Linked DNA regions of Lytechinus pictus. The protein of the gene in region 4 purifies or fractionates together with the protein of the main gene of each other region. This does not show direct contact. Links are inferred from orthologs where the notes say so. Each region holds a gene or a part of one and is shown on either strand. Other genes may lie near its edges.

Evidence for each region. Proteins that work in one complex are often made in the same cells at the same time.
Region 1: the proteins of unconventional prefoldin RPB5 interactor-like (region 4) and DNA-directed RNA polymerases I and III subunit RPAC1-like purify together in Homo sapiens (affinity purification with mass spectrometry; 4 studies listed by BioGRID and IntAct, with this or other methods). This does not show direct contact. The link is inferred for Lytechinus pictus from reciprocal best matches to the Homo sapiens genes URI1 and POLR1C.
Region 2: the proteins of unconventional prefoldin RPB5 interactor-like (region 4) and DNA-directed RNA polymerase III subunit RPC4-like purify together in Homo sapiens (affinity purification with mass spectrometry; 3 studies listed by BioGRID and IntAct, with this or other methods). This does not show direct contact. The link is inferred for Lytechinus pictus from reciprocal best matches to the Homo sapiens genes URI1 and POLR3D.
Region 3: the proteins of unconventional prefoldin RPB5 interactor-like (region 4) and GPN-loop GTPase 3-like purify together in Homo sapiens (affinity purification with mass spectrometry; 3 studies listed by BioGRID and IntAct, with this or other methods). This does not show direct contact. The link is inferred for Lytechinus pictus from reciprocal best matches to the Homo sapiens genes URI1 and GPN3.

What each region holds. Positions count from the first base shown.
Region 1 is NC_087251.1:7,256,245-7,263,211, reverse strand, and holds the start of DNA-directed RNA polymerases I and III subunit RPAC1-like, read left to right. Parts: upstream 1-3,946; 5' UTR 3,947-4,089; intron 4,090-6,967. Other genes in the region: AP-2 complex subunit sigma, read right to left, coding at 951-1,055. UniProt on the Homo sapiens protein: DNA-dependent RNA polymerase catalyzes the transcription of DNA into RNA using the four ribonucleoside triphosphates as substrates.
Region 2 is NC_087247.1:56,498,623-56,506,150, reverse strand, and holds the start of DNA-directed RNA polymerase III subunit RPC4-like, read left to right. Parts: upstream 1-4,507; 5' UTR 4,508-4,553; coding exon 4,554-4,697; intron 4,698-5,189; coding exon 5,190-5,239; intron 5,240-7,528. UniProt on the Homo sapiens protein: DNA-dependent RNA polymerase catalyzes the transcription of DNA into RNA using the four ribonucleoside triphosphates as substrates.
Region 3 is NC_087246.1:16,028,203-16,035,713, forward strand, and holds the start of GPN-loop GTPase 3-like, read left to right. Parts: upstream 1-4,490; 5' UTR 4,491-4,597; intron 4,598-4,708; exon of another isoform or gene 4,709-4,843; intron 4,844-6,418; 5' UTR 6,419-6,431; coding exon 6,432-6,479; intron 6,480-7,337; coding exon 7,338-7,446; intron 7,447-7,511. UniProt on the Homo sapiens protein: Small GTPase required for proper localization of RNA polymerase II (RNAPII). May act at an RNAP assembly step prior to nuclear import.
Region 4 is NC_087246.1:39,025,361-39,033,274, forward strand, and holds the start of unconventional prefoldin RPB5 interactor-like, read left to right. Parts: upstream 1-4,896; 5' UTR 4,897-6,527; coding exon 6,528-6,749; intron 6,750-7,182; coding exon 7,183-7,318; intron 7,319-7,861; coding exon 7,862-7,914. UniProt on the Homo sapiens protein: Involved in gene transcription regulation. Acts as a transcriptional repressor in concert with the corepressor UXT to regulate androgen receptor (AR) transcription.

The DNA of each region.
Region 1 (6,967 bases), on a different chromosome or scaffold from region 4:
TAGACCATAAATCACCCTAGTCCCGTGAGTATGGTCAAATACACGGCAAGCCCCTGGGCTCCCTGGGTTAATTCGGGGGGGGGGGGGATATTGTTTTGGCCCATTTACTTTAGTTCGGGCTCAAAACGATTTATACAATCTGTGATTTAGATCTACTGTAACCGTGGGAAATCCTAGCCTCTACAGAGAGGAATGATCCCTCGGCTAGCCAGGCGGCTTCTAGCATGTCTAGAGAGTAAAAATCATTTACTAACGTAAGGTTACTCTCATACGAAGCCAGGCAGTCCTCCCCATTCATCTGCGTGTACCGCAAGAAACCCTGAAACTTTCGCCCCCGAGATTCCTACTTTCCTTCTAAAACAAGATCTAGCTCTAAATCATGTAAATGGGATAAAACTTCATTTCCGACATTTCTACGCTCTCGTTGTTATTTTTAAAACAAGAATTCATCAAAAAAATGAAAAAATATTGTGAAAAGACGGAAGAGACTTGCCCGATGTTTACGCCGCCATCTTGTTTCTTATTGTACTTAGAGCTAGATCTTTTTAGAACTTAGATTTAGAAGAAGGAAAGTAGAAATCTCGTGGGTGAAAGTTTCAGGTTTTGGCTTCCTAGCTTTGTGTGGGTCTATGAGATAGAAGGCCTGGCTTCGTATGAGAGTAACCTTACGTTAGTAAATGATTTTTACTCTCTAGAAGCCGCCTGGCTGAGTAAGCCTACATATAGTAGATGACTTTTACTCCCCAGATCCAGAAGCCTCCAGGCTAGGTAGGCTACACAAAATCGAACGTGTGGGGCCATTTAATAAAATCGGGGAAAATAAAGTTGGCAAATACTTCAACAGAGCAATCAAATTTGGACTAAAATTAATGTAAAAATAACTTTAACCGACATCAAACAAGAAACTATGTTTTGTAATGTCCAAAACTACCACAAAAGAAGACAATTACCATTATTCTTTCTGCTCTGTCAATCGGAGGGCGTCTCGGAATCAGTCCGGAAATGGAAAGGTGATTGATTACTTTGATATGGGGTACGGTACGGTTCTGTACCATGCGAAAATGATTTTTTTTTTTTAATAATCTACATTACTAGTGTCAATATTACTCCTTAGTTTGAGAATGACAAAATCGATACATTTAGTAGTTAAGCAGTCGAAGATACCTGCTATCATCAATCAAATATATAACTTTTAAATAGATGCCTATTTTGCATTGGAAGTTTTTAACCTCTAATATAATGGACTCTTCCTATCCAATTCCCAGCCTCCGAGTTCCCCCCCCCCCCCCACGGCCCCGGCCCCCTCCCCCTTTCTGGTGTACTACCGTGCGAGCCGGTGCGAGCACTAGCGAAGCCGGGAAGCTAGTTCAAGCGCTTGGCCCCGGCGCGGCCGGTGTACCGGCGGATCCTGCGCCTGGCAGATACTGTTCTAGGCACCAAATCCGCCGGCGGATATGGTTCTCCTCCGGCGGATTCAGTACCAAGAAAGGCCACTCTCTTCGGAAGATATCGTTCTTGCGATATCCTTCATTCACATACGTCACGTGGTACGAGAAAACTAGTCAAAAAGCGGTAGATTTCATCAATTAAAGCTTGCAGAAAAATATATTCATGATATCTCTATGTGATAGAAGTGAAGAAATAAAATGCGTAATCTGAAAGGGGAAAATAACCCATTTTCTTGTTACAACTCTACGGGAATTACACCACTTCTAACACTACATGACGTCACGGTCTCGGTGCGAGGCCGGTGAAAGCATATTTACAAGAAAGTATATTTTCGAAACCTGATAATTGGAGTTATTCTTAAGCAAAATATTCAGCTGTAAGCGATGACTGCATAAAACTTGCATTTCTGTTTTTAGTTTGAATTAATAGCTTTCGATTTGACTGATTTGTCAACTTTTGGGGTTTGGTCTGGGTCTTTAAATAGTCCACATTTAGTCTTCATTCAACTTTCAATGTCTACTGCACTACTAGTATACAAAGAATTTACCCCATGATATGATAATGCTTGTAGTCTAATAACATGCATTTGTTAATTTATTTTATACCTATTAATTTATTGCAGTATGAAAAGTCCTTCTTATCACAATTTTGGGGATAAATTGGGCACAATATGCATCAATTATGATTAATACAGAGTATTAAATAAAGACAAACAATGGCAGTTTCGATAATTAAAATCAGTATTTGTATAAATTTGTATAAATAATGATCACTGCAAATGAAATTCTTGAATTACGAAATTACAATGTATTATTATTATTTCCTCCACATTTTCTCGTATATTTTTTCTATTTTTCTCTCCCTCCCCTTCCTCTTTATATTTCTCATTTTTTGTGCTATATTACCCTCGCGTATACGCCCCAGATATATTCATAATGTGCAAGAACGATATAGGAAACTGGAAAAGAGGCAAAAGGGGCGAAATGAGCAGGGACAGAAAGAAAGGCAAAAAAAATAAAGAGATGAAAACCAGGAGGAGTTAAGTAAAAGAAACAAAAGATATAAAGGAGAAATTATATTTCACTAAAGATCCCATATTGATCTTAAAATTTGATGACTGAGAGGTAAATTAGGGAGCACCAAACAGTACGTGGCGTATCTAACTTTTGTCAGGGTGATCTTCCGGTCCCCTTCAATCATCATCATCATCATCATATCACCGTCACCCTCACCTTTATCATCTTCATCTTCATACTAAAAATATTGCATGAGTTGATGTTTCGTATTTAAAAATATATATGCCAATTCTGCTTTATAAATGCATAAATTAATTTAATTAGTTTTAGTTTGGGATTGTCATTTTTCTTCAAGCAATCTGCTTATGATGACAATCCTTCTCCTGCAAATTGTGAATATCATATAATAATTTGTTAGTTAATCATTTTTGTCTGGAATAATTTTTTTAGTACACTTTATTTATGATTCATGCCAAAAATGCTAACATAATATTATGTTTATTATGTTATGGAAAATGTATTATACGAATGTTCCATGGATGCAGAAAAAACAATAAATCAAATCAAATCAAATAAATTAATTCAGATTCCTTAACATTGAAAAAAAAAGAATAAAAAAAAAAACAAATTAAAAAAAATACATGAAAATTTAAAGATAGGCCTTCAATAAACTACATAAGAAATTAATCATGTTCTGACATTCCTTTTATGTTTGTTAGAAATAAAAAAATTTTGTTTTCACCAAAAATTAGCATTCTACAAGCAATAATATGAGTTAACAGCAAAAAAAATATTTTCATACACTAATTTGAATCATTTATTTGAAATATGAAAATTTTAACTTGTTGAAATTTTTCTAAAAATTTGTAGTTTCAAAAACCTATAGGCCTATATGGGGGTGCAAATTTTCGCCAAACAGTCTGGCAAACTGACACTAAACATGGTGTGAAAAAGCACAGTTAAAGAGATCGATGCATACTGCGGACTGAAAATAGTATAAAAATTCACAAAACAAAATGATGAAAATTTCATCAAAATCTTATAATAATAAATAGCATAGTTGTATGGTGTGTCAGCTAGGTCTACGTAATACATATCGAGACATTATTTCTCCTATTAATCCTCACCCCCATCGAGCCCTTTGTCAAAAGCTGTATGGATCCGCCCCTGAATAAAAATTCACTAAAGGCGGACGAAAATCCCCCCCTGCGATCGACATTGCCGAGCCGCGCATGCGCGCGCTGCCGAGGTTGTCTGTCCAAATCAATATTACACGTATAATCAATAGAACCAAATCCGCCGAGGAACCAAATCTGCAAACATCAAGCCGCGTCAAACCCGGCGGATATGGTTCCGATTAAAAACGATATCGGCCATTAAGAACGATATCTGCCGGCGGATACGGTATCCGCCGGTGGAACCAAATCCGCCGCTACACCGGCCTCAATCGGGTAGTAGACCCAGCAAGGATCCGCTGCTCTGATCTGGTGCGTATCTTCGAGCACGTGTTTCACAGATCTATGTTGTAGTCGGCCGATCATCCATCATCAGTCATATCATGGCTGCTCCTCACATTGAAGATTCCAAAACACGCGTGCGGCTGCTTGAACATGGAGTTGACAATGTAAGTAGATTTAGGGCCTAATATTGATAATAATATACTGGTAAATATTTTTATAATGAAGCCTAACGTTAGGCCATACCGGTACTAATACTATTTTTTGGATAAGATTTTTAAAAAATCATGGTATGATTTTTGTTTCTAACGACGTTACAAATACAATACATGTTCTACTAATTTTTCAGGGAGAAAGACGCGGTATTATCTATGGCGATGTATAAGACTAAGAGGATAGATATCTTCTCTTCCAACTCATGGTGATAGCGGATGCCGCCGTGAACTTTGAAAGGTCTTATATTACCGACGGAGCTCACTAGCACTGCGTTACTCTCTTACATCGTTTATGATTAGGCCTATATACATTTTATTTTCAACCTCGTGGTGATAGCGGATGCCGCCGTGAACTTTGAAAGGTCGTATTACCGACGGAGCTCACTGCGCTACTCTCTTACCCCCTTTATAATGATATAAATCTTCTCTTCAACCTCGTGGTGATAGCGGACCCCGCCATAAACTTTTAAAGACTGTATGATGGGGGGACCTAAAGCTACGCACTTTGTTTTCAAACAATAAAAACTATCCCAATTTTAATATTTCAACAAATATCTTTCACTAATTTGTGGCAAACATTCTAAAGATCATTAAAGGAGAATGAAACTCTTGGAGCAAGTTAGCTTTTGTGAAAGCAGAAAAATCAAAGAATAAGATCAACAAAACTTTGAGAAAAATAGGACTAGCAATAAAAGAGTTATGAGCATTTGAATGTCGAGATCACTAATGCTATGGAGATCCTCCCATTGGCAATGCGACCAAGATCTGTGATGTCACACACGTACAACTCTCCCATTTGGACACTGAAAATATACCCCAAAACATCTCTTTTTGCTCATTCTAATCATATATGACAAACGATTCATCAATGATATAAACATATTGTTGAAAGTTTGAGGAAGATTGAATGAATAATAAGAAAGTTATGAGCATTTGAATATTGAGATCACTAATGCCATGTAGATCCTACCATTGGCAATGCGACCAAGATCTGTGATGTCACACACGTACAACTCCCTCATTACTTTAGTACTTATTTTACCTATATTCTCACTTTATCTATCACAAGGTGAGGTGTTCTCTTTATGAGAGGACAAGTACATAGGTTTCACAACATTATATCATTGATGAATCGTTTGTCATATGATTAGAATGAGCAAAAAGAGATGTTTTGGGGTATATTTTCAGTGTCCAAAAGGAGAGAGTTGTTCATCTGTGACATCATAGATCTTGGTCGCATTGCCAATGGGAGGATCTCCATAGCATTAGTGATCTCGACATTCAAATGCTCATAACTCTTCTATTGCTAGTCCTATTTTACTCAAACTTTTGTTGATCTTATTCTTTGATTTTTCTGCTTTCACAAAAGCTAACTGGCTCCAAGGGTTTCATTCTCCTTTAAAGACTGTACTATTGACGGAGCTTATTGAGTTACTCTCTTACATCGTTTATGATGATATACATTTTATTTTCAACCTCGTGGTGATAGCGGGTGCCGCCGTGAACTTTGAAAGGTCGTATTACCGACGGAGCTCACTGCGCTACTCTCTTACCCCCTTTATGATATCTTCTCTTCAACCTCGTGGTGATAGCGGACCCCGCCGTGAACTTCAAATTGATTTGAAAACGCTAGCTACCCAAAACATTTTAATAACATATTTCAAATCATCGTGCGTGCTTGCGTCTTCTACTTCATTTTAATTGCACTTGCGACTTTAAGATGATGCGTCGTAAGAGATCATTCCAATAATTCTAAATCGCTAGCACCTAAAAATACTTCTAAAAGATGTCCCGCCGATCATTCATTAACCTGTGATCTATGAGAAATATTTTCATTTTATTTTCCTTTGCGCCTTTGCTCGGAAGATGCGTCTTTCGTTTATCTTTCTAATAAAAATCACTCGGTTTATTTTAAAGCAATAACACCTCAAAACCCCTGGCTTTAAAACATGTTCCAAATGATCGCGCATGTTGGCGACTTCCATTCCAATGCATTCGTCTTTGTGACTTTGTCAGGAAGATGCGCGCGACCGCGAACAACATTTTGATGTATTCCTTTGTTTTTAAACATCGCCGATTCGATTTTTGATTCGATTTCGATTTTAGAAGCTTAACTGCCGATCCGATTTTCGATCTGATTTTTGATCCGATTTACAACATTACCCCTCCACAAAAAACAATTTTCGTGCGCGACGAATTACATCATGATTCCGGACGAGTAAAGATATCGTTCATTAGGCCTATATTGATGTAAGAAAGAATTTGTGCGATTTTTTCTTCATATATCATGAGTAAATTCTAAGTTTTTGTTTGCTTTTTTTATATCGAATCTGAGCAGATGTTGGTAATAAATTTGTGTATTCTAACTAGAACTAATGTTATTTTTAACTGCATGTTCCATGGCACTTTCGTGATGCTCATCAAGTTCTATCAATGCGCCGTCGCTCGTCGACGGCTCCCTTGAGAACTCCGTCGACGATCACCCACAATGCACCACACCTCAACATTTGATCGAAGGAGCTGACGTGATTGAAATTTGGCAAATCAGGCCCATATTTCGGTCAGAAAATATATCAATTGTTTATGCAAAACTATGTTATATGATGATATTTTAAGCATTTTTTGTCATTTAAATGATAAATAAGGTAAAAGTTATAATTTTTTCACCATTTTTGCAATCTTGTTTTATGTATTGCTCTGAGAAATTGATAAACTTAAAATGCTAGAATTACAATTCCTGTTCACTCATGCATCAAATTTCAATTTAGTAACTCATTAAATTTGCCTAAGAAACCAAAACGTATCTCACTCATTAATTTATCATAACTCC
Region 2 (7,528 bases), on a different chromosome or scaffold from region 4:
TCAAAAATTGAAATGTGGTTACAAAAGAGTTTTTCTTTTAATATGTTCTATTGAGACATATTTGATATGACTGTAAAGGAAATTTGCCATTTCAACATTTTTTTTCTTATTTTTCATGATTTCATGAATTTCTTATGTATTTCTATTGATTTTAATTTTTTTCATATATTTGCAATTTTTTCTGCTTCAATTATTTTCATTAATCAATATCTTAAGAAACTAAAGAAATGAGAAAAGGTGAATAAATCACTTTTTTTAGCACTCTTGAAATTTATTTTGCCCCATCGACTTTGTACACAAAATTGATTCCCCATTGACATTGTGTACAAATGTCCCGTATGTAACATTTTTGTAACAATTATTTAAAAAGTGAAATATATTTTGTAAACTTTTTGTATTATATCATTTTCGAACTCAGTAAATTAGAACTTCCTACAGACACAACAATACAGGTATTGTATTCTAAGAAATTCAACTAACTTAAAAAAAACGTCCTCAAAATGTTACGTATGAGACTTTCCATCCTTTGACTAGACCTAATTTGCATATAAAAATTAGGTGACACCACTATTTTCCCCAAAAAAGTAATAATATGTTGGGATGGGGAGGGGGTCCATGTCCCATCTATGATTAAATCTCACAAGTTTTGTTTTGATTCTTTATGAGTTTTTATAATTGTACAACCATAAGTAACGCCCATTTTACCAATTATGTAAATTAGGGGCCCCAAATTTGCCTAATGAAAAAATTTTCTTAATAAAATTTAAAAATTCAATATTTGGGCTTCTTTATCCAACCAAACATAACTTCTTGAAATAGAGATGAAATTTAGTCTCCAAAGCCAAAGGTGACCTTTTCTTGGACTTGCCCTTTATAGACGGGTCAATATATGGTTTGACGCGGAACAAATTGCAACAAATGATTTTTCAACTGTTTCTGGCAGTATTTGACCTCAGGAAAAACATACAAAAAATCTACCAAAATCTGCATCCGGGAAAGTGGTTATTTTCAAGATGGCGTCCAAGATGGCCACCATTCACTAAAAATTGATATAACTCACTCATTATCCACCCTAGAATCCTATTTGGGTTCATATTCCAAGGTCCAATGGGTAAACAATTTCATTTATACAAGTTAGAGTGAATATTAGCACTCCAGGGTACCAGGAAACTCCAAGATGGCGCCCAAAATGGCTGCCGTATTCTAAAAACCCCACAATCCATCTATTACTTAAGTGGCTTTAATTTGGGTTCAATTCGATTGTTTTAATGATGAAGTAGTTTATCGGGACAAGTTACAAGGACAGCCAGTGGTCTGGTGTGTCCAAAAATACAAAATGGCTTCCAAAAATTGAGTTTAAAATGGCTGTTCATCCTTAAAATGGGCATAGCTCATATCACATCTACCTGAGAGATATGATTTTTGTGCCTATACCATGGTTAAATGGGTCAAATAATAAATTGGGATAAGTTACAAGGACGATGGGTGGTCAAGTATGTCCAAAAGTCCACGGTGGCTTAAAAAATAGTATCAATTAGCTGCGATGGTATCTAAAAATGGACATAGTTCATGTTATATTCGTCAAGGGCATATGATTTTGTTGCCTATATCATGGTTTCAAAAGGAAGAAAATTAGCTACAAGGAAAGTCAGTGGTCCAGTATTTCGAAAATCTAAGAAAGCTTCCAAAAACCGGAGTCTAAAATGACTGCTGTTAATTTTAGAATGGACATTTAAATCCACCAAGGAGATATGATTTCGATGTCCACTATGGTTTCATGGTTAAAACAATACGTTTGGACTTGTTACATTGATATGCAGTTGTCCAGTTTGCCTAAAACACAAGAGGGTTTTTAAAAAAGGAATCTAAAACGACTCATATTTAATTGTGGTCAGAGTTCTACAATATTCATCTGTGAGAAAAAATGTTGGTGTCCAAATTGTGGTATGAAGGGTCAAATAATACAATCGGACAAGTAACAAGGATGGTTAGTACTCAATTTTGTCAAAGAATCCAGGACGGATTCTAAAATTTCATCAAAATTGGTGCTGTTACCAACTCATGAAACAATAATAACTTGTCCCCATGCATTTAAGTGTAAGAACCAAGATTATTTCTAACAGGTAGATAATTTACCTAACAGTAGTCACTTTAGAACCCCTTTTTTAAGCCAACTTGGATTTGGAGGCAAAATGGATAGCTGCATATCATGATAACCAGTCCCAAAGTATTGTTTGGCGCTTGAAATCCTAGTGTAGACACCAAAATAATATCCCCAAGGTGTATTTATAATGTTCTACATCCACTTTTAAGTAACAGCAGGCATTTAAGACCCCCATTTTAAAGGCCATCTTCGATTTTTGGATATACTTGACACCTGACTGTTTTTTCAACTTAACCCAATGTATTGCTTGACCATGTAAACCCTAGTATAGACAGCAAAATCATACCTCCAAGCCCAAGGTGTATTTATAATAAACTATGCATACTTTTAAGTAGCAACAGTCAATTTACACCCCATTTTTTAAAAGTAATCTTGGATTTTTTAACATACAGACAACTGACTGGTCTTGAAACTTACCCTAGTGTATTACTTGACATTTTTAAACCATGGTTGAACACCAAACTCATATCCCTAGACAGATATTAAACAAACTATATCCTTTTATAAGTAACATCATACATTTTTTTACTCCATTTTTGGAAGCCATCTTGTAATTTTGGACATACTAGACCACTGACTGCCATTGTCTTGTCCTAATATATAATTTGACCTTTGAAACCATAGTTTAGACACCAAAATCATATCTCACAGGCGGATTTAAAATGAGCTATGCCACTTTTAAGTATCAACAGCCATTTTAAAATCAGGTTTTATTTATTATTTATCTATTTATTGGTATATGCACATATATTTACCAGCAGCAGGGCTGAAAGGGTCAATTTACAATAATAATACAAAGTACAAAATAACATAAGTTACAGTAAGTATAATTTTGGCCAAATGATTGAATGGCATTGAAAGCCATATTGGATTTTTGGTCATACCAGACCACTGACTGGCCTTAAAACCTGTCTTATTATTATTTTGGCCCTTAGACCAGTGGTTTAGACACCAAAATCGCATCTCCCAGGCCGATATGAAATAAGCTATGTCCGCTTTAAGTAGCAGCAGTCAATTTAGTATCAATTTTTGGAAGCCAACTTCGATTTTTTGGACATGCCAGACCATTGACTGTCCTTGTAACTTATCCTAATATATTATTTGACCCTTGAAACCAGTGGTTTAGACATCAAAATCACATATCCCAGGCCAAAATGAAATGAGCTTTGTCCGCTTTAAGTATTAGCAGCCATTTCAGAATCAATTTTTGGAATCTATCGGGGATTTTTGCACATACCATACCACTGACTTTCCTTGAAACTTGTCCCAATGTATTATTTGACCCATTTAACCATGGTATAGACACACAAATCATATTTCTGGACATTGAGCAAACTATGTCGGGTTTTTTTAAGTAGCAACAGCAATTTCGACTCCATTTTTGGAAGCCATCTTGGATTTTTGAACACATTGGACCAATGACTGTCCTTGTAAATTGTCCCAATGTCTTATTTGACCATTGAAATCGTGGTCTAGACACCAAAAGCAGTATGTCCCAGGCGGATATGAAATGAACTATGTCCATTTTAATTATCAACAGCCATTTTAAACTCCATTTTTGGAAGCCATCTTGGATTTTTGGACACACCAGACCACTGGCTGTCCTTGTAACTTGTTTCAATGTACTATTTTACCCTTAAACCATTGAATAAAAAACAAATTTAGATGAATTGTGGATTTTCAGCCTACGGCAGCCATTTTGGGTGCCATCTTGGATTTGCCTGGTACACTGGAGGGATTATAATTCATTCTAGCCTAAATCAATTTTTTTTACCCCCAGACCATGGAATATGAACCGAATTAGGATTCTTGGGTGGATAATGTGTCAGTTGTATCCATTTTCAGTGAATGGCGGTCATCTTGGACGCCATCTTGAAAATAACCACTTTCCCGTATGCGGATTTTGGTAGATTTTTAGTATGTTATTCCTGAGGTCAAATAGTACAAAATACCGTTGAAAAATCATTTGTTGCAATTTGTTCCGGGTCAGGCTATTTTTGGTTGTATATTTACCCGTCTATTAATGGATAAGTTAGATCAGGTTTAATGTATAATTTGTATAATTTAGTAATTCAATATTCGTACAGTGTATACAGAGTCTCAAGACTATTAGGAAAGTACTTGTTTTGCTACTGAGTAACATAATTAATGCTGTGGTTTGAATGTATTGAGCTGAGTGGTCAGTTAGTGTGTTCTCATTCAAGTGTGCCTATATTACAAGACTATACAGCTCAGAATGCTGCATTATCCTGGCCAGATATGAGTAGTTGAGGACTTGTGGTGGCGCAATTATTTCCTTCCTTTTTTAAGACTAACATTATCATTTGGATTCTCTTTACTTTTAGCAGAGCACCTTACCATTTTCCAGGATTAAAAGCAGATAGAAGTCATGGCTGAAAAACCATCTCAAGGTCAAGGATCACCTGGTAGTATCCCTCGTGGGCTTATCAATAGACGAGGGAGTGTTATTAAACCCAGTGAAAGATTGCCTTCGCTACGCACTCGTGACCTAACTCTAGGAGGCATACCAAAGGTAATTATAGCCATTTTGATGTTAACACTTGGTATTTACTGCTTTTATCTAGTACATAAAGGTCACTGTATGGTTGGGTCGTTCGTCTATCCATTGCAAATCTTGTAGATCAAATAAAACTACTTCCTCTATTTTCACCTATGTTTATTAGACTTCACATGCAAATTGATCTTTGAGAGATCGAATGGGTCAGAAATTGTTGCTCTGGTGATGATATATTCAATTAGTGATATTTCTAGTTGTCCTAGTGACAAATTAATTTCTAATCTATCTTTTGCTTTCTCAATGGTGTGCTACCAAAAATTGAATTTTGTATATTTAAATGATCCAAGAGGAGAGGGATAATTGAGCAGTGAAATAATGTTTTATGTGTAGCAGTCTATAGAATAAAGAAAACTACATGTTGAATATTAGAAAGAAGTTCTATAAAATTTGAATGTAGTCCTGATAAGATTGTAAGTTTATATGTTTTGTTGTTTTCTTTGTCTGCAGAAATCTTTTAAGCCCAATATACCAGTAAGAAGAGAAAAAAACAAAGATGAGTAAGTATTATTCTTTTTTTTTTCTTTGTATATCAGACTTGTCAGTGTCAGCATTCCAGAAAAACATAAAACATGATTACCAGTACTAAACCATGAAAAGAATGAATTATACATTGCTATCAGAAAAGGCTGATCTTTGTAGATGCTTAATCAGTGGCGTACTGTGGGTCACGTCATTGGGGGGCACCAGCAAAAATTTTGAGTCACTTATACCGTGTTTACAAGTGCATCGGCTTTTGGTTTATCTTGCACCGCGTTTGTAACAGCTCACGGTGCAGAATCTGCTCGAGTAGCAAAAACCTGAAATGATCCACGCACCAACAATATACGTCATAATAAAGACAACGCTGGATCCGTGGGCTTCCAAGTACGTCATAATGGTAAAGTAAATGAAATGCACGCCAATTGCTTATGCAGAATTGGCTTTCTATTTACACGTAGAAAAAAAGCCGATTCTGTATAGGCTCGCGGTTCTGAACCTACTACTTTGGTGGTGCAAAATTGCTGATTCTGCACTGAGAGCCGATGCAAGTTAATCGCGTTTACACGCAACAAAAAAGCTGAATCTGCATCGGCTCGCTGTTCTGAATCGCGAGCTGATGCAGCGTGTAAATACAAATTTGGTGAGCATGCAAAGCGTGCTCAATTGCCAGGTATACTGACCTTAAATAGAGAGATTTTAAGGACTGTGCCATTAAGCGGATATATGTATCTCACTGATCAAATAATGCGAGCGCGAAGCACGAGCTAAAATTTTTTTATATTCAGACCTAAAAAAGGACATTATAAGCAAATTTTTGTGTAATAATAATACGTACCTGTCTCGCTAAACAAACAATGCGAGCGAGAAGCTTGAGCTGAAATTTTTGTATTTATTGACCCCAAACAGGGACAGTTTAAGGACTATTTTTTAAGAAGTTTAGGATATACATATCTCACCATAGTCATCTAATGCGAGTGCCAAGCGCCTTCTGATTTTGTTAGAATTACATCTAAACACATAGTCATTGTAATCGTGATTAACATACGCATCTCACTAATCAAATATAGCTAGCGCAAAGCGCGAGCTCAAAATTAAGGAAATTCAGACCTGGAGAGTGGCATTCTAAGGCTTGTTTGTAGAAATTCACTAAGACCATACTAACCAAATGATGCGAGCGCGAACCGCAATCTGAAAAACTTTGATATTTAGATCAGAAAAAAGAGATATTTTAAGCCCCCATTCCACAGAGAACAAGACCGCTGAAAGACCTATGTACCACCATGAATTCTGGTTGATCTTTCAGAGGTCTCTCAATGAACCTACAATGGTCTTTGAGGTCTTACACGAGTCCTGACCAATCTTTCAGTGGTCTTCGTGGTGTTCATGGGCTCCAAAACTTTTTGAAATGGTTCAAAACAGTCTTAAAACGGTCTTACAGGAAAATGGCATTTCAGTGGTCTTTCAGCAGTCTTCCAGCAGTCTTTCGATGAACTTTCAAAGGTCTTAATAGTCTTTCAATGATCTTTCGGCAGTCTCTCAAGATTTTTGCGGAGATCACTGTAAGATTCATGAGAGATCATTAAAAGATCATTGAAAGACCAGGCAAAGTCCATTGAAAAAATTCAGAAAGATCACTTGTTGCATAAAAGATCTCTGAAAGACCATTGAAAGATCTCTATGGGACTAGTCTAAGACCAGTAAGACAAGAAATATCCATGAGTCTTTCAGAGTTCTTTGAGGGGTCTTTCTTAGCCATTCCACAGAGAAGACAAATTTCAGTGATCTTGAAGACCGCTGGAAGACCTCACCAATTTCAAGTTTTTCAGTGGTCTTTCAATGGTCTCCGTTCTGTGGAATGTGGGCCTTAACAACTGATTTTAGGAATTCATGAAGAGCAGACATATCTCACCAATCCACTAATGCGAACGTAAGCACGGACAGGGAATGTTTTATATGCAGACCTTAAAATGTGGCAATCAATTTAAGTAGTCATGAAAAAGAAGGATATGTCACTATATAAAACAATTAAATAATAACTCGAAGTGCGAGGAAATATATTTGGTGTATATTGACTTGAAAAAAATATGTTTTAGAATTATATATCTCGTTAAACAGACAATGCGAGACCAGGAACGATGAACACAATAGGCCCTGAGCAAAGTATGTTTCATAAAGTTATGAAAAAAAATATTTCTTATGATGTACGGTAATAACATAATATATACAGTATAATAATAATATAACATTATAATGTACAATATTTTCTTCATTCCCATTACGTTTCTCTTCCCTATTCTCTTCTTTTT
Region 3 (7,511 bases), about 23 Mb from region 4:
TCTTAGTTTTGTTTGTCTTGTTTTTTTTTGCTGAATGTTTTTTAACACGTTTTTTACCTTACTTAATTTCTTTTAAAGAAATTTGTTGTTTATCTTTAATGAGAAAGCATGAGGGGTCGGCTAAAGAGATGTAGTGCCGCCCATTTTAAGTATTTCATGTTTATTTTTTTAATAGAAAAGGGGTGGGGATAAGACGGAGGGAGAATAGAAGAAAACATATTTTAAAAAATATTTGGCCCTATACATTACCCCCGGGAATAATACATGTACCCCGGAGAAGTTAAAATGACATCCGTTTTTTGCCGTGCAAAAAGACGACCTGAAATTGATGACAACTAGCCCCCATATAAAAAATAACTTGGCGCCATCCCAGATCAAATGCATCAGAGTGCAACCAAAAAAATGTTTAGAGGTGATATGTCAGTGTGGCTTGCCGTAAATGCATTTTCTCTCAATACCGACGGTGGCGGGCGGTGTGCAAAGATCATGCCTACGTAGGACATGTCTGGAGGTGTCTTTCCAAGGACCATTCTTCGTATCGCCCAAATTGGTTTTGTGAAACAGTTGAGCGATATCTCGTTCTTACGTAGAATGGTTCTACGAAAGACCCTTTCATGCAACAGGCCCCTGACATCTGGGCACAGTCTGGAACCTCAAAAAAACGAAAAGTTCTCTCCTTCTACCCAGTCTCGATCGGCCATATTGTTACGATTTTTAACAAAAATGGCCGATCGAGACGGGGTAGAAGGAGAGAACTTTTCGTTTTTTTCAGGTTCCAGACTGTGCCCAGATGTCAGGAATCTGCCACTCGTTAGACCTTCATCCATATAATCGTGGTAATTGTATACTTTCTGTTTTCACAATTCATTTTGAGAAATATTTAGACCATAAATCACCCTAGTCCGGTGACAATGGTAAAATACACGGTAAGCTTCTGGGCTCCCGCCCGCTGCGCGGGCGGGAGCTCTCTGCCTGGGTTATTCTTGAAGTTGAAGTTAAATTTTCAGGTGATCAGACATGCCCCTCCCCCCCCCCCCCCTTCATAGTACCAACCCAGGCCAGGGGCCCCCAAACTCCAAGGAAACTTTCTATATCTCTTTGCAAAATTTAGAGAAAATTACATGATTTAACTGTGGAACGTCCCAAGACAATTTTCACGTTAAAGTCCCTGGCGACTACGCTCATGCGCAATTTGGATACGAGAATCACGGTAATGTGTCATCGCCCGTTTACTTGCGTGCATACACATATCGCACGCATTAAAACTAATAACAGTGCCGTTTGGCAATGACTCCGGGATTTATAAAGCATCTTGGGACTTGGACATTTGAACGACATTTTGTATTTTAAAAATAGTGTATGAATGTGAGGAGAAAAATATCAAATGTCACTCGGACTTTTCTTTCTTATTTACCTGTAAGATTCACAGCGTATAACCACCGGCCTTGTGAAAAATCAAGACTCCAGACAGACCACGCATGTTTGCAAAGCAGATCGTAGATAGATGCATACGCGTTATTTTAGGCCAGGGGGCCGGGCGGGGAGGCCCAGGGGGGGGGGGGGGTGGGTGTAAATGCGTGATGGTATTTTTTACTACAAGTATTTTTTTAATGGGTTGGTCTCCTAGTACAGGTTCAACAAGTCCCTCCCCCTTTAAACTATTACTTCTGTAAAAAAAATTATCAGACAGGCGCGGTAGAGACGCGGTCGAGTTGTTTAATTATAGAAAAAAACCAAAAATATTTACATACAGTGGTACGTACATGACCTTTTTTTTTTTTTGGGGGGGGGGCTTAATGTTTTGTTTTATGTATGTGTTACCTGTAGTACCGGAGGAGACAAAGCATTGGGGGGGGGGGCACTGCATTGTCTGTGAACAATGCTGTGCCCCCCCCCCCCCCCCAATGCTTTGTCTCCTCCGAGTCACGGTCCGCCACTGTGTTCTACTATACATTTCGGCGCACCAGAATGCTTTCAGTTTTGAGCTAGGGGCCGGGGGAATCTTGAAGGGGTACAATTTTTGGACAGTGACGGACGCGAGGCTACCATAATAGTTCACTAAATTTACTTGTTAATACAATATTGTAACTTAATTATTCGGTACTGGGGCGAAAATTTTTAATTTTTAAGTTACAAAATGACAATTTTCGTGCCTATAATGCTTTTGTCTTTAATTTAATTTCTTGTTGTTATTGTTATGTTGTTGTAATGGCTGGGGGGGGGGGCAGTCCAACTCCCCCCCCCCCCGGTGGAGCTAATAATTTCCCACCACAATAATAGCAGTGAAGGTCGAGGAGACCAAATTTGGTATTTCTATTATTTTAAAGTAAGTTTGGCTATTTGAATGCACAGCTAGGGTTGGCGATTTTTTTTATTTAAAAAAAATCAACAAAATCTTATTTATTTGATTTAAATCAGATTTTTTCAATCGGATTGATTTAATATTTTTTAAATATTTTTAAACAAAAATTTCTCAAACAAAGTGGAAACACCAAAAATATAATCCTTACACTAAAATCATTATCAAAATCATCCATTTCGCAAATAAGATTATTATTAACTCATATTCTATTTCATAATGATTAATATATCTAGTCAAAATAGAATTTATATAGAATATTCAAAGTCATGATGAAGATGCTGTTTTCTGCATCATCTCGTGTAAGGTATTTAGCTCCTACTGACTGATTTGGGCCTTAATTAGTACAGCCAACTGCAAAGTTAGTATTCCTATTCAAACATGAAATGTGGATCTGTTTCTTTAATTGAAAGAATTCCATGACTCAGAGACTCACATTCTCCAAAAAGAAACATACTCGATTTTCAAGCCAATTAAGGACTGAAAATCATGTATTAAAGAATACTACTTTCTTGTTCATATTTTGTTTAATGTGAGCCACGGTTGGAGTTTTTTTTTAGCATTGTAAAAAAAACTGTAGGCCTATTGAGAAAAAGTTGCAAGTTTATTTAAATTATTTCTGTTAGTACAATCAAGGAAGTGGGAGGTTTCTGGTACAATAAATCTGAAATTACTTAATTGGCAGTTAGCAGTTTTTGCTAAAAACGCCAGGTTCTACAGCTTTAAATACATGTAAAAGAATAAAATGTTATATCAATGCATGGGATAAAACCAGGGACAATATATATTTATAATCTCCATATTTTGTGAGACAATACAAAAACTATAAGTCTAGTGTACAATAATCTGAATAAAGATTTTACATAAAACACACACAAAAACAAAACAACAACGAAACAAAACAAAAAATGTGAAGGGAGAGCAGCCAAATTAAAACCAATCTACTTTATATTTTAACCATAATGGCATCATGATATATTTTGTAATATTAGATGTATTACTATAAAATCATTCCAATACCATATTATAAATCATTTTAATATGCAAAATGAGCACTATATTATAGCAAGGTAATCATATTGATGTTTTTTTAATTTCAATTGATGGATAAGGATCAGTGGGAGAAATAGTTTGAAGAAAGAAAAAAAAATCACTTAAGTGAAATTGACTCAAACAAACAACTGGGAAAATGTTCCCATTTTGTATGGTGTAGAGTCAATTTATCCTTTCTTTTTGCCTTTTCATATTCAATTTGTTTTGACCTTTTAATGGCACTGCATATTTCTTTACATGTAGGGACAGCGGCGTACCAGGATTTTCCAAAAGGGGAGGCAAATTTTTTGGAGGATATTTCGTCCGCGAAAAAATTTGACAAGAAAAAAAAAAAAGGTCTTCAACCACAAATAAAGGATTTCGTACCAGAAAAAAAATTGACAAGCAAAAAAAAATTAAAATGATATAAACCGACCCCGAAACCGATCTCCTCCTTCTTTATTCCTTTTTTCCCGTCTACCTATATAGTGTGTGGATCATTTTATTTCTTATTTGTGATCCTTATTTCTACTGGATTACCTACCGGCATGTTTGTTATTACAATTATTCTTTTTAATCATGGTTTTATAGTCTCTATCTTGATTAAACTTGTAAATGTGTAAGCCTATGTCACTGTTAACTGTTTGTTTGACCCCAAGGAATGCCAGACTGTGCCAGTCGAGCTGAATGTGGGTTAATTCTCTTCTTTCATGGCCGGGGCAGAAATGTATTATTGCCCCCTCATAATTTCATGCTAAATACAATGCCTATTTAATTTTCCGCATTTATGATATTGCTGTATACTGTAATTTTATTTGTTCTGCCAAGACCTACCTCAAAAGAGAGCTAAAAAGTAAAAAAATAAAATAAAAAAAGGGGAAAAAAGGGGGAGGGAAACCCTCAACATTCATCGGCAAAATTAGTATTTTTATAAGCCAGTAAGGGATTTTCCCTCGAAAATATTAAATCCACTCTGATTTCAATCTGCAGCTATATCATAGAGATATTAGTATATTATATATCTAATTATGAGCTATAGATTTAGCTTTCAAAAAACCTTTCTGCATTTTTAATATGCGGATCGCATATCGATCACTATGGCGTTCCATGTAAACCACATGTGTTGGTCGCTTGAATTGAGTAGCTCCGATAGTGGAAACTGGAAAACATCTGAACTTTTGTCGGCGAAGCTAAGTTTTCTTGCAAGTAAGAACATTACAATATTCGCAGTTCACTGTAATTTTTGTAGCTGATGATGATGATGTTATAATTTGGTTAAAGTGATCATTTATCAAGAGTTGAAGATGTCATTCTTACCCGGGATCTTTCCAACAAATCCCATCGCCGATGGCATCGGGGCTTCAGTGGAGCGGCCTCGGAGCGGATCGGGGTGGCAACAGTGTGCGGTACCGTATTACCGTCTCTAACCCGAAGGTGTTCAGATTATGGAGCGCCAAGTGTTTCCTTCATTCATTTATTCAACCTTTGTTTAAGCTAAACAATGTTACAAATTTTGGCCAAAATCCACCCATGAGTTCATTGCATTAACTGTGTCTGTGAAAATTGTGGGCACAAACATACAAACAAATGCATTGTGGATAAAAGTTTAAAACTACATTTTCACAAACCTCTAGCCTATCTAGGCTCTATTCTATTTGAAAAAAAAATAACAAAAAGTTAAAAGATGACTGATTTCAATTTGTACATGTTGTATGGAAACTGAAAACTTACCAAGTATGAAGACCTTCCCACATTTTTTAAATGAGTGTTTATTGTTTACTGATAATATTTCATTCTGTTTCGTAGGTGAGCTGGAAAAAGAGTCCAATGTGTATCATGTACCCTACACAAAAAACAAAACAAACAAAAGGACACTTATTCCATGAACAAGGTTATGATAGGATGTTAATTCCAGGGTAACCAGATTTCACAAAATGAAATACAGGACATTCGACAAAATAGATCAACAAAGAAGGCTTAAAAAATATTAAGAAATGGAAGGGAGGGTGAACGAAAGAATGACAGAGAGAAAGAAAAGACGAAAGAAAAGAGATAAATTGAGAAGAAAGGAAAAAAAATAAGAAAGAAAAACAGAGAAAAAAGGATTCCATCATTCTTTGAATTGAATATCTATAGAAAGAAAGGAAGGGAAGATGAATAAATGTGTGAAAGACAAAAAGGATGGAAAGAAAGTAAGAAAAAAGAAGGAAAGAAAGAATGAAGGAGAGATATGTTTCCTTCATTCTTCGAAAGAACGAAACAAACAAAAGAAGAAAAACAGGAAGGAAGGGAGGGAAAGAAAGAATAAGGGAAAAAAATAGAAGGAAAGATAAAATGAAGAATGAAAGAAAGAAGGAGGAAATCGAGGGAGGAAAGAATGAAGGGAGGAGAGAATGAAAAAAAGAAGAAGAAATATAATGGAAGGAGAGAAAGAACGAAAAGGAGAGGAAGGGAGAAGGAAACAGAAATGTTTAAGGAAAGAAAGAATGAAGGAAAAAGGAAATTTAATAAAAAAGGCAGGTAAGAGAAAGAAGGAAAGATAAAAATATGGGACGATCCCGGGAAATACGGGACGTCTGGTCACCCTGGTTAAGTCTTACGGTGTACACGGTTAAGTCTTCCGGTTTCACTCTCGAAACCTTGATTTAAAAAGTTCTGTAATTTTTTTGGGGGACTAAAACTCGCCTCAATGGAACTGCATTAAAACCAGTGTTTACTAGATCTATGCCATTGAGAGAATGCTGATAGCAGGAGTGCTTTTTAGCAATGGTGTTGGAGTGTGTAATTGAGTTTTGTCATACGTGTATCAATCAGATATGATTATTTACGCCTGGGACCAACCTTTAATGTCACCATCAGAATAACATGACCTCTGCATCAATATGTAACTTCCTCACATAGCTTGGATTACAGGCGCATTTTTTTACACATGTGACATGATCACAAGAACATCGCCAGGTAATGTTTATCATACACTATGAGACTTAACATTCATTTGCATTTTTTTTTCACATTCTGTTTTTCCAGTAACATTAACAAGATGCCGCGTTATGCTCAGATTGTGATGGGACCAGCCGGTAGTGGAAAAGTAAGTATTTGTCCACAAATCTGAAAGGATTAAGTCCACCATCAAATTAAGAAGAAAATGAAAGAAACATTTCAAGATAGGGTTGATGAAAATCTATGGTGTCACTTATAATGTGCTCTGTCATAAGCCTTACTTTATGCTTTGTACCAGGGGCAGCGCTATAATATTTTGGCGGGGACAATATGACCTGTCAACATATTTTTTCTTGATTGAATTATTGCTAGGGTCTTATGCATTTATGTATTATAGAGTTACATGGCCTAGAATTAGTTGTTACTCATCCCCCTTCTTTCTTTCCTATCCTCCATCTTCTTTTTTTCTCTCACTTCATTCCCAAAGTTTGTATAGTAGGACAGAAGGGGTGTTCTTTTGTGTACCTTGAGGAGCCGTATTATAATTGTTCATATTTGTTCCCAGCTTCATTGTGAATTATTTTACTTTTCAACTTTTCAAGCCACATAACAAATTTATATTGAGATATGCTGTCATATCAAGAAAATATAATTTGCAAAGACTGCAGTAATTTCCAGTTCTAAATCTAAGCACTGCTAGGTGATAGGGCAGGGAGTAATTTTCCTGGTATCGCATCGCAATTTGCTCTACAGTTTTGAAAGACTGCTATGCATTAAGTCTTTTGTATAGACTATTTTTACATAAGACTGTACATTACTTATTTGAGAGCTTTTCTCTTAAGACCAAAAATGCTATTCAAATTTGTAAAGCATAAATTATTCCCTGTAGGGAGCCTCCTAGATTTACTTTAATTTTGTTGTAAATCATTGAGAGCTAATCAGTGTATAATAGTGAATTACAGACATACATGTAAGTCAACATTTTGTATTTGATTTTTTATTGTAGTCAACATACTGCAGTAATCTCCAGAAACACTGTGAGACGATAGGGAGACAAGTTCATGTGGTCAACTTAGATCCTGCAGCAGAATATTTTGATTATCAGACTGTAGCAGGTAAACTTTGTGTGAAATGTGCTCATTTTTGGAGTAGAAGCCCTGTATGGTATTCTCAGCAAATT
Region 4 (7,914 bases):
CAAGTCCTTGTATCATCAGGATTTTCAGCTCGGGCAGCTCTATCGCATTTTGATTACTATCCTGTTGATTTATTTATTTGAACAAAATATTTAAAATGTCCAGCTTTTAGAACAGATATCAAAAAAAGGTATTCACCTTTGATCATAGATGAGGAAGAAGAAAAAGGGCAAAAAAATAGGAAACAAACTAACGAATTAATGTGACACAATTTTTCTTCATTTCAAGGCGACTCTTTACATTTCATCATCGCTGATGGCACTACAATCGAAAATACCACTTGACAGCAAAAAAAAAAAAAAAAAAAAAACAGAAACAGGAAAATAATGCTGAGCATCTAAAATGCAGCTAGCAGTACAAGCTGCAGATCGTAAACAAACGTCTTGTGAATAATATTAAAAGTTGATACCCACGATCATACTGCGGCATCTACGTGAAGATCACGAGAAAATGCTTTTATTTTATTAAAAAACACACCAAAGAGAAGTCAAGAAACGATCCATATGGTTCGGTAAGTGTCATACATGTAGCACAATTAGAAACATTATTTAAATGGAATGGCATAGTTATTTTAGTAAAAAGTGTGTGAAAGATTCGCGTGCACCATGTGCATATGAATCCTTCGCACGCGAGATGCATTGATCCCATGAGTGGGCACAGACTGGAACCTCAAAAAAACGAAAAGTTCTCTCCTTCTACCCCCGTTTCGATCGGCCATTTTTGTTAAAAATCGTAACAAAATGGCCGATCGAGACTGGGGTAGAGGAGAGAACTTTTCGTTTTTTTGAGGTTCCAGTCTGTGCCCAGATGTCAGGAAACTGCCACTCGTTAGACCTTCATCCATATAATCGTGGTAATTGTATACTTTCTGTTTTCACAATTCATTTGGAGAAATATTTAGACCATAAATCACCCTAGTCCGGTGACAATGGCCAAATACACGGTAAGCCCCTGGGCTCCCGCCCACTGCGCGGGCGGGAGCTCCCTAGATGCTAGATTAAAAAGTGCTAAAATGTCCTGCTTCAACCACTGAACTAGAAATACGTGGAAGTCGTGTACACCCAAGCAAAACATCGCCGGCGGCGAACTCGATAAGCCACGTGACCGCCGCCAAACGCCGTAGAAGGCAAGATGCAATATGTTTTCTCTATGTATTTCTAGTTCAGTGGTTGAAGCGGGACATTTTAGCACTTTTTAATCTAGCACCGCTCATGATTTTGCCGCCCTCTATACGCGTCACGTAACTAGGTTGCAATTACAAAGGATCAAAGATGGCGATGTCAACAAGTGTAAGTAAACTCTCTTCTACTTTTATTACTTCATATAATTTATTCGTCATTTTTTAACCATTACTACGCATTTTTTGCCAAACGTTGCCAACCAATATTGTGACCCATGTACAGCAGTCGTGACCTCAGATTCTAAACATAACTAGCAGTTTGGCGCATTTTTATAGTTGCCTTTTCCCTCGGTAGGTAGGACTCTATGCATCACAATGCCAGGCGTTAGGGGAGTGACCATACGTACAGTATATACTTTCACTCCCCAGACGCCTCCAGGCTACGTTTCTGGGGATTTCCTTAACAATTCTGACATTTCACCATAATCCCCATGTCGAGATCACTAATGCTATGGAGATCCTCCCATTGGCAATGCGACCAAGATCTATGATGTCACAGATGAACAACTCTCCCCAGTTTTGGACACTGAAAATATACCCCAAAACATCTCTTTTTGCTCATTCTAATCATATGACAAACGATTCATCAATGATGTAATGTTGTGAAACCTCTGTACTTGTCCTCTCATAAAGAGAACACCTCACCTTGTGATAGACTCTATAAAAGTGAGAATATAAGTGAAATAAGTACTAAAGTAATGAGGGAGTTGTACGTGTGTGACATCACAGATCTTGGTCGCATAATCGCATTGCCAATTGGAGGATCTACATGGCATTAGTGATCTCGACATTCAAATGCTCATAACTTTCTTATTATTCATTCAATCTTCCTCAAACTTTCAACAATATGTTTCTTTGATTTTTCTCTTTGATATGGATTCAGCTGGTTTCAAGGGTTTCATTCTCCTTTAAAGATTGTAATATCCATGTGGATACTGTCAAAGCAGAGCTGCAGAGGCAAGTTCTTTCTCGGATCTGCTCCAGTCTCTTTTTGTGTACACAACTGGTTGATTTTAGTACACTTATTCATGGTCATACCCTTGACTTGATTTATCGACAGGTAGATGAAATTATAATCGGCAAACCTTGGACACACTTTTGTGCGATCATATTCCTGTTATGTGTACTCTTTAATTCCTACAAACCTCCACTTCTAAAGTAATTTCATTCCGTAGGCTTGGAGTAATAGATATTTTTACGAAGAAGCTTGATATAGCCGATAATAATCTTTGCAAACATACAGCTTGTGATCTTTAAGAATTCGCCTCATTATATGATACATTACACTAAATAGTATCTTAGATAAACATGCATGCAGAACATGTAATATAGTTGTTCTGTGACCCCAATTGCCTTTATTCACTGATAATGTAAGGATCGCAAAAATACAGAAAAGGAATGTTGAAAAGCATCGGTTAAAACTTAAACTCTAGGATGGAGAGCGATTGGAATGGGTATAAGTCACTTCACAAACACATGTTGCATACATGTATGTTACATGAGCTTGAAGAATCCATCACAATGGTTTAGTTATGGAAAACAAAGGTGATCATAAGCAGTTTTGAGTTGTGAAGTCTCTGTTGAATATTGCAAATAAGCAATCTGTTACATCATGCATCACTAGTAACAAACAGTGCTTTGTGAATGATTTAGGCAATTTTTTTCATAAGAAAGTCATGCAGATCCACGAAAACCTGACTTTATGAAATTTACTCTTCTTTCAGAGCAAGGAAAAAAAAGGATTTCCAACCAAGTTAAAAAACCTATAACCAAGTTCAGTAAAAAGTCTTGTGCATCAGACCCAATGCCCACAAAGATTCTTCTACAGCGTATTGACACACTGATTCCCACCATCACATTTCTAATTAATCTTGAATTGTCATCTGGTCATTTCCCTTCACTCTGGAAAACTGCTCTACAGTGCGTCCCAAAAAAAACTATACACTTTTGAAATGGCTGCCAAATAAAAAATGTAGCACTTTGGGGGAAAAGACTTACATATATGGAAAGCCAATAAAGTCAACTTTCAAATGACACCAAAAAGTTGGAAAACTATTCATGCTTGAGCGAGCACTGCCCACTGAAACAAAGGGTATGAAAATTAGGGTGGGCTGGAATTAGCCTTCCGATTTATGTAAGTTTTTGAGAGGCAAATCCTTTCGAACTTGCAAAGTTAAGGGCGATGTGATAAATTAATGATCAACCATGACCAGTTTTGGTTGCTTAAGCAAATTTTAAGTAAATTATTAAATTGAACTTTAATGCATGAGTGAACACAAGTTACAACTTTTGGGGAGCATTTAAACTTTATCATTTGGATCTCTTTTTGGGCAGCATTTCAAATTTATCATGTGGATCTCAGCAATGTGTTCATGGGCGTCGGGAGAATAGGGGGTGAGATAGGACTTAAGTCAGAGAAGTAGGTTGATGGAATAAGGGTCAACAGAACATTCAGCCCCCGCCCCTCCCTCTCTCCCGCCCTCCCTCCTGTTGAGAGACTGATGGCTATTGTCATGTACGCGTGAAGTCCAGAGCAGAATGTTGATTTAATGATTAATTCTGAATTGGGACATCAACTTTTTCCTATCAATCATTTAATCAACAATTTATCAGTAAATCAACTTATTCAATGTGCAATGTGATCAATCAAACATTCAGTTTTTTTTCAATTAATTATTTCATTAATCATCATAATCATTAAATTTCTTGGTAATCATTGAAAAAAAAACTGACCATCAGCCACCGGTCACTTGGCAGTTAAGTTTTGAATAGGCTACAAATGATGCAGGAAGTGAGACAGAGAGAGGGGGGCTGGGAAATGGAGGTGGAGAGGGGAGGGTACATATGACTTTTAATTTGTAAAAGGAAAAAAAAGAAGAGGAATGCCCTTTTAACCAAGTCTTAGCATATCTCGCCCTCTTGCTTGTAACGGGTACCATCACATTACTCTGACTCTCACGAACACACTGCTGAGGTTCACAAGATAAATATGCAACAATAAAATTACAATTCCTGTTCACTCATGCATTAAATTTCAATTTAGTAACTCATGAAATTTGCCTAAGAAACCAAAACTTATCTCACTCATTAATTTAGCTTAACAAGTTCCAAAGGACTAACCACTCAAAAAAACTGTAAGGCTAATTCCTGCCCATCCTACTTTAGCTGAGCATATTAGTCTCTCAGGGGGAGATAAGCGGGGGGGGGGGGGGGGGGGTGAGATTGAGAGAGGGGTTGCTAAATGTTCTGTTGACCTTTATCCCACCAACGTACTTCACCTACCTAAGTCATATTACCCCCTCTTCTCCTGACTGTCGTGAACACATTGTTGAGACCCACATGATAAGACAAAATGCTGCACCCAATTCATGATCACTCATGCATTAAATTTCGATTTAATAACGCATTAAATTTTCACAAACAACAAACTGATCACAACTGATCTTTAATTCACCAAATAACCATCAACTTTGCAAGTACCAAACAAAAAAAACTGAAAGAAATTGGAAGGCTAATTCCAGCCCACCCTAATTTTCATACCCTTTGTTTCAGTGGGCAGTGCTCGCTCAAGCATGAATAGTTTTCCAACTTTTTGGTGTCATTTGAAAGTTGACTTTATAGGCTTTCCATATCTATAAGTCTTTTCCCCCAAAGTGGTACATTTTTTTATTTGGCAGCCATTTCAAAAGTGTATAGTTTTTTTTGGGACGCACTGTAGTTCAACTATTATTGAATAAACCTGGTTTGGAAGAAAAAAATTGTAATCATCAGCCTGTTAGTAATCTGAGGTATGTATCAAAGCTTGTAGAAGGTGCTGTATATACGCAAATAATGAATCATCTCGACTGCAACTACCTTGTTCCAAGTAATAAGTCAGTCTACAGGCAGTATCACAGTACTGAACGACACTGTTAAGAATTATGACTCAAGAGTGATATTCTCATGGATATGGATGATAAGAAAGAAAGTCACCTTATTACTTTTATTAGACCTTAGTAGTGCATTTGATGCTATTGATCATACTAACCTATTGCATGCACTAAAGAAACACTTTGGCATAAAGGTTTGGTAATCATTTAACTGACAGATGTCAACAAATCAAAATTTATGAAACTGTTTCTGAAATTTTCTCAGTACCTTTCGGAGTCCCTCAAGGGTATTCACTCTATACACAAGTCAACTAATTACAAATATCCATAGTAAATTTAGTAAGTATCTTGCCACTGCTATGCAGATGACACACAGGTTTATTTGTCTTTCACACCAGACTTACTTGCTCAGCAGCAGAGCATCTCTCTCCTGGAAGAATGTGTTGATTACATACGTGAATGGATGCTGCACAATAAACTTATGCTATTAAAAAAAATGACAGTAATACAGAATTGCTAGTTATCAGTACATCTAAACAGCTAGATTTTGACAGGATATCAGTTGGCAGTTAAGTCATAGAACCAAATTCTAATGTAAGAAATCTTGGGAGTATATTTTCACTCACAATTGACTATGGAAAAAAAATATTACAAATGTGTGTAAATCGTCATTTCGTATGATATACAAAATTGTACAAAATTACTTTAATTATGAAAGTGTGAAAACAATATTGTCCATGCATGCATTATTAGTAAGCTAGATTATTGTAACAGTTTGCTGTCTGGGCTCCCATCGTCTCACATTGGGCATCTTCAGCGAGTAAAGAACACATGTGCACGACTGATTTGTTGTCAACTTAGATTTTCCAGGATCATCCCTATCGTAAAAGATTTGCACTGGCTTCCAGTTCGCCAACGAATATCTTTCAAGATTTTGTTAATTGTATACAAGGAACTAATTAGCCAAGCCCCCAACTATATTTCTGAGCTTTTACGACGCAAAGTTCACAGGTCTATACACACTCATAACCTGTGCAGTTCTCACGATAATTTGCTCCTTCTCATCCCCACTCGTAACACAAAGATAACTGTGGGAGATCGTGCATTCGTCTGGGATTTGAACCCACGACCCTCTGTTTCAAAGTCCGAAGACTAATCCACTGGGCCACAACGCTCCACGCTTATTTTTTGTCTTTTGATTACACTAGAATTTAATGGTTGTAATCTTCAATTTCATTCTCTGTAATATTACTTAACACTTTGTATGAAAAATTGACAAAACTTTGCTTGTTTAACTTTTCCAAATGGCTGCTTAAAATCGATTGTCTGGGTATAGATAGTATTTCTTTATTCTTCCTCAGTAACAACTTGCAAATACGATTGTACACTACATTTTGTTTTGCCAGAACTTTAGAGAGTAGAAAAATTTGGTGACCAGGAGAAGCACAGCTAGGTCTCTCAGAAGAATACATTCTAGAGTATGAGATTAGAAATTTATTATTTATTTGGTTGTTATCATGCAGGTTGTATAATGGCGAGAGGAGGTGATCTTGCTCATATTGGTCGCCTGAAGGAAGAAGAAGAGAAAGCCTTGTTTGAGACTAAAGACAAATTACAGCAATGGCAAAAGTTTGATGAAGACTATTCAGCTCTCAAGGCCAGACTGACAACGTTACCTGAAAAAGTTTCACATGAAGTTATGGTAAGAAATCAAATATACACTAGTAAATACATTTTTTTATAATCAATCTTTGTTTGTTTTTCATTTTTTCTGTTTTCCTGATAGTATTCATTCTTTGAAAGTTAATATGAAGTTTGTAATAAGTTTGAGGCCACAAAATTTATCCTGTAACTAATTTTGTGACACAGATCTATGCTGGCGTGGCTTATGTGTTGAATCCATTCCCACCTCACCACCAAATAAATTTGAGATTTGAACTTTTGTTGACAAGTGAATAAAAATTGTTTTATTTTCTAGCCTCAGGTGCAAATTCATTCAAGTATTATTGTTTCCTCCTCCTGACTTTCTCTTTATCATCTCTCTGTTTTTTTTTTCTTGTCCATATATCTGTTTTTTTTACTTCCCCCTTACACTTCCATCTCTTTCTGTCTTTTACCGTGTTGTCTTTCTACAGGTTCCCTTTGGCAAGTTAGCCTTCATGCCTGGTCAGTTGATCCATACCAATGAGATACTCGTTCTCCTTGGTGATAACTGGTTTGCAGAGCGTTCAGCCACACAAGCCTGTCAGATCATCGATAGGAGGAAATCATGTGAGTAGATAAGCGGGTCTTGTCCAAAGGTCTGATTTAGAGTGAAGGTTTGAGAGACTTCTCTGTGACCATCCACATTTCAAAGGTGGAGGGGAGTTCCCCTGCTCTCCAATAACAATGTGAATTCAGGTTAATGATATGCATTAACCTTTTTTCCATTTCATAGCCTTATTTCATATAAGAGTTTTGCTGGTAGTAATATTACTGGTAGTAAAGAGTCACAGGAGATGAAATAGTGAGATGACTTCTTTAGCACAGTGATAAACGACTAGAAATTTGTTTTTGCATACTGGAAAATATATATATTTGGGGGGGGGGGGCTATTTTTCACAACCAATTGCTCAAATCTGCAACATTGAATAAGTTTTAATAACGTTGCAGTGAATGGGGAATTTCTGGGGCTTTTTCAGGGCTCTTGAGCATTTTGGGAGTGAAATCGCTCCCAACCACACATATTGTCCCTGCTGAACCAACCCTAGTAGCAGAAAAGTAAGACGAGACAATGAAAAAAAAAGAAATGAAAGTATTACTCTCTTTTATCAGATGTACAGAAAATGATGAATGATCTGAAGAAGCAACAGTATCTATTAGAGTCC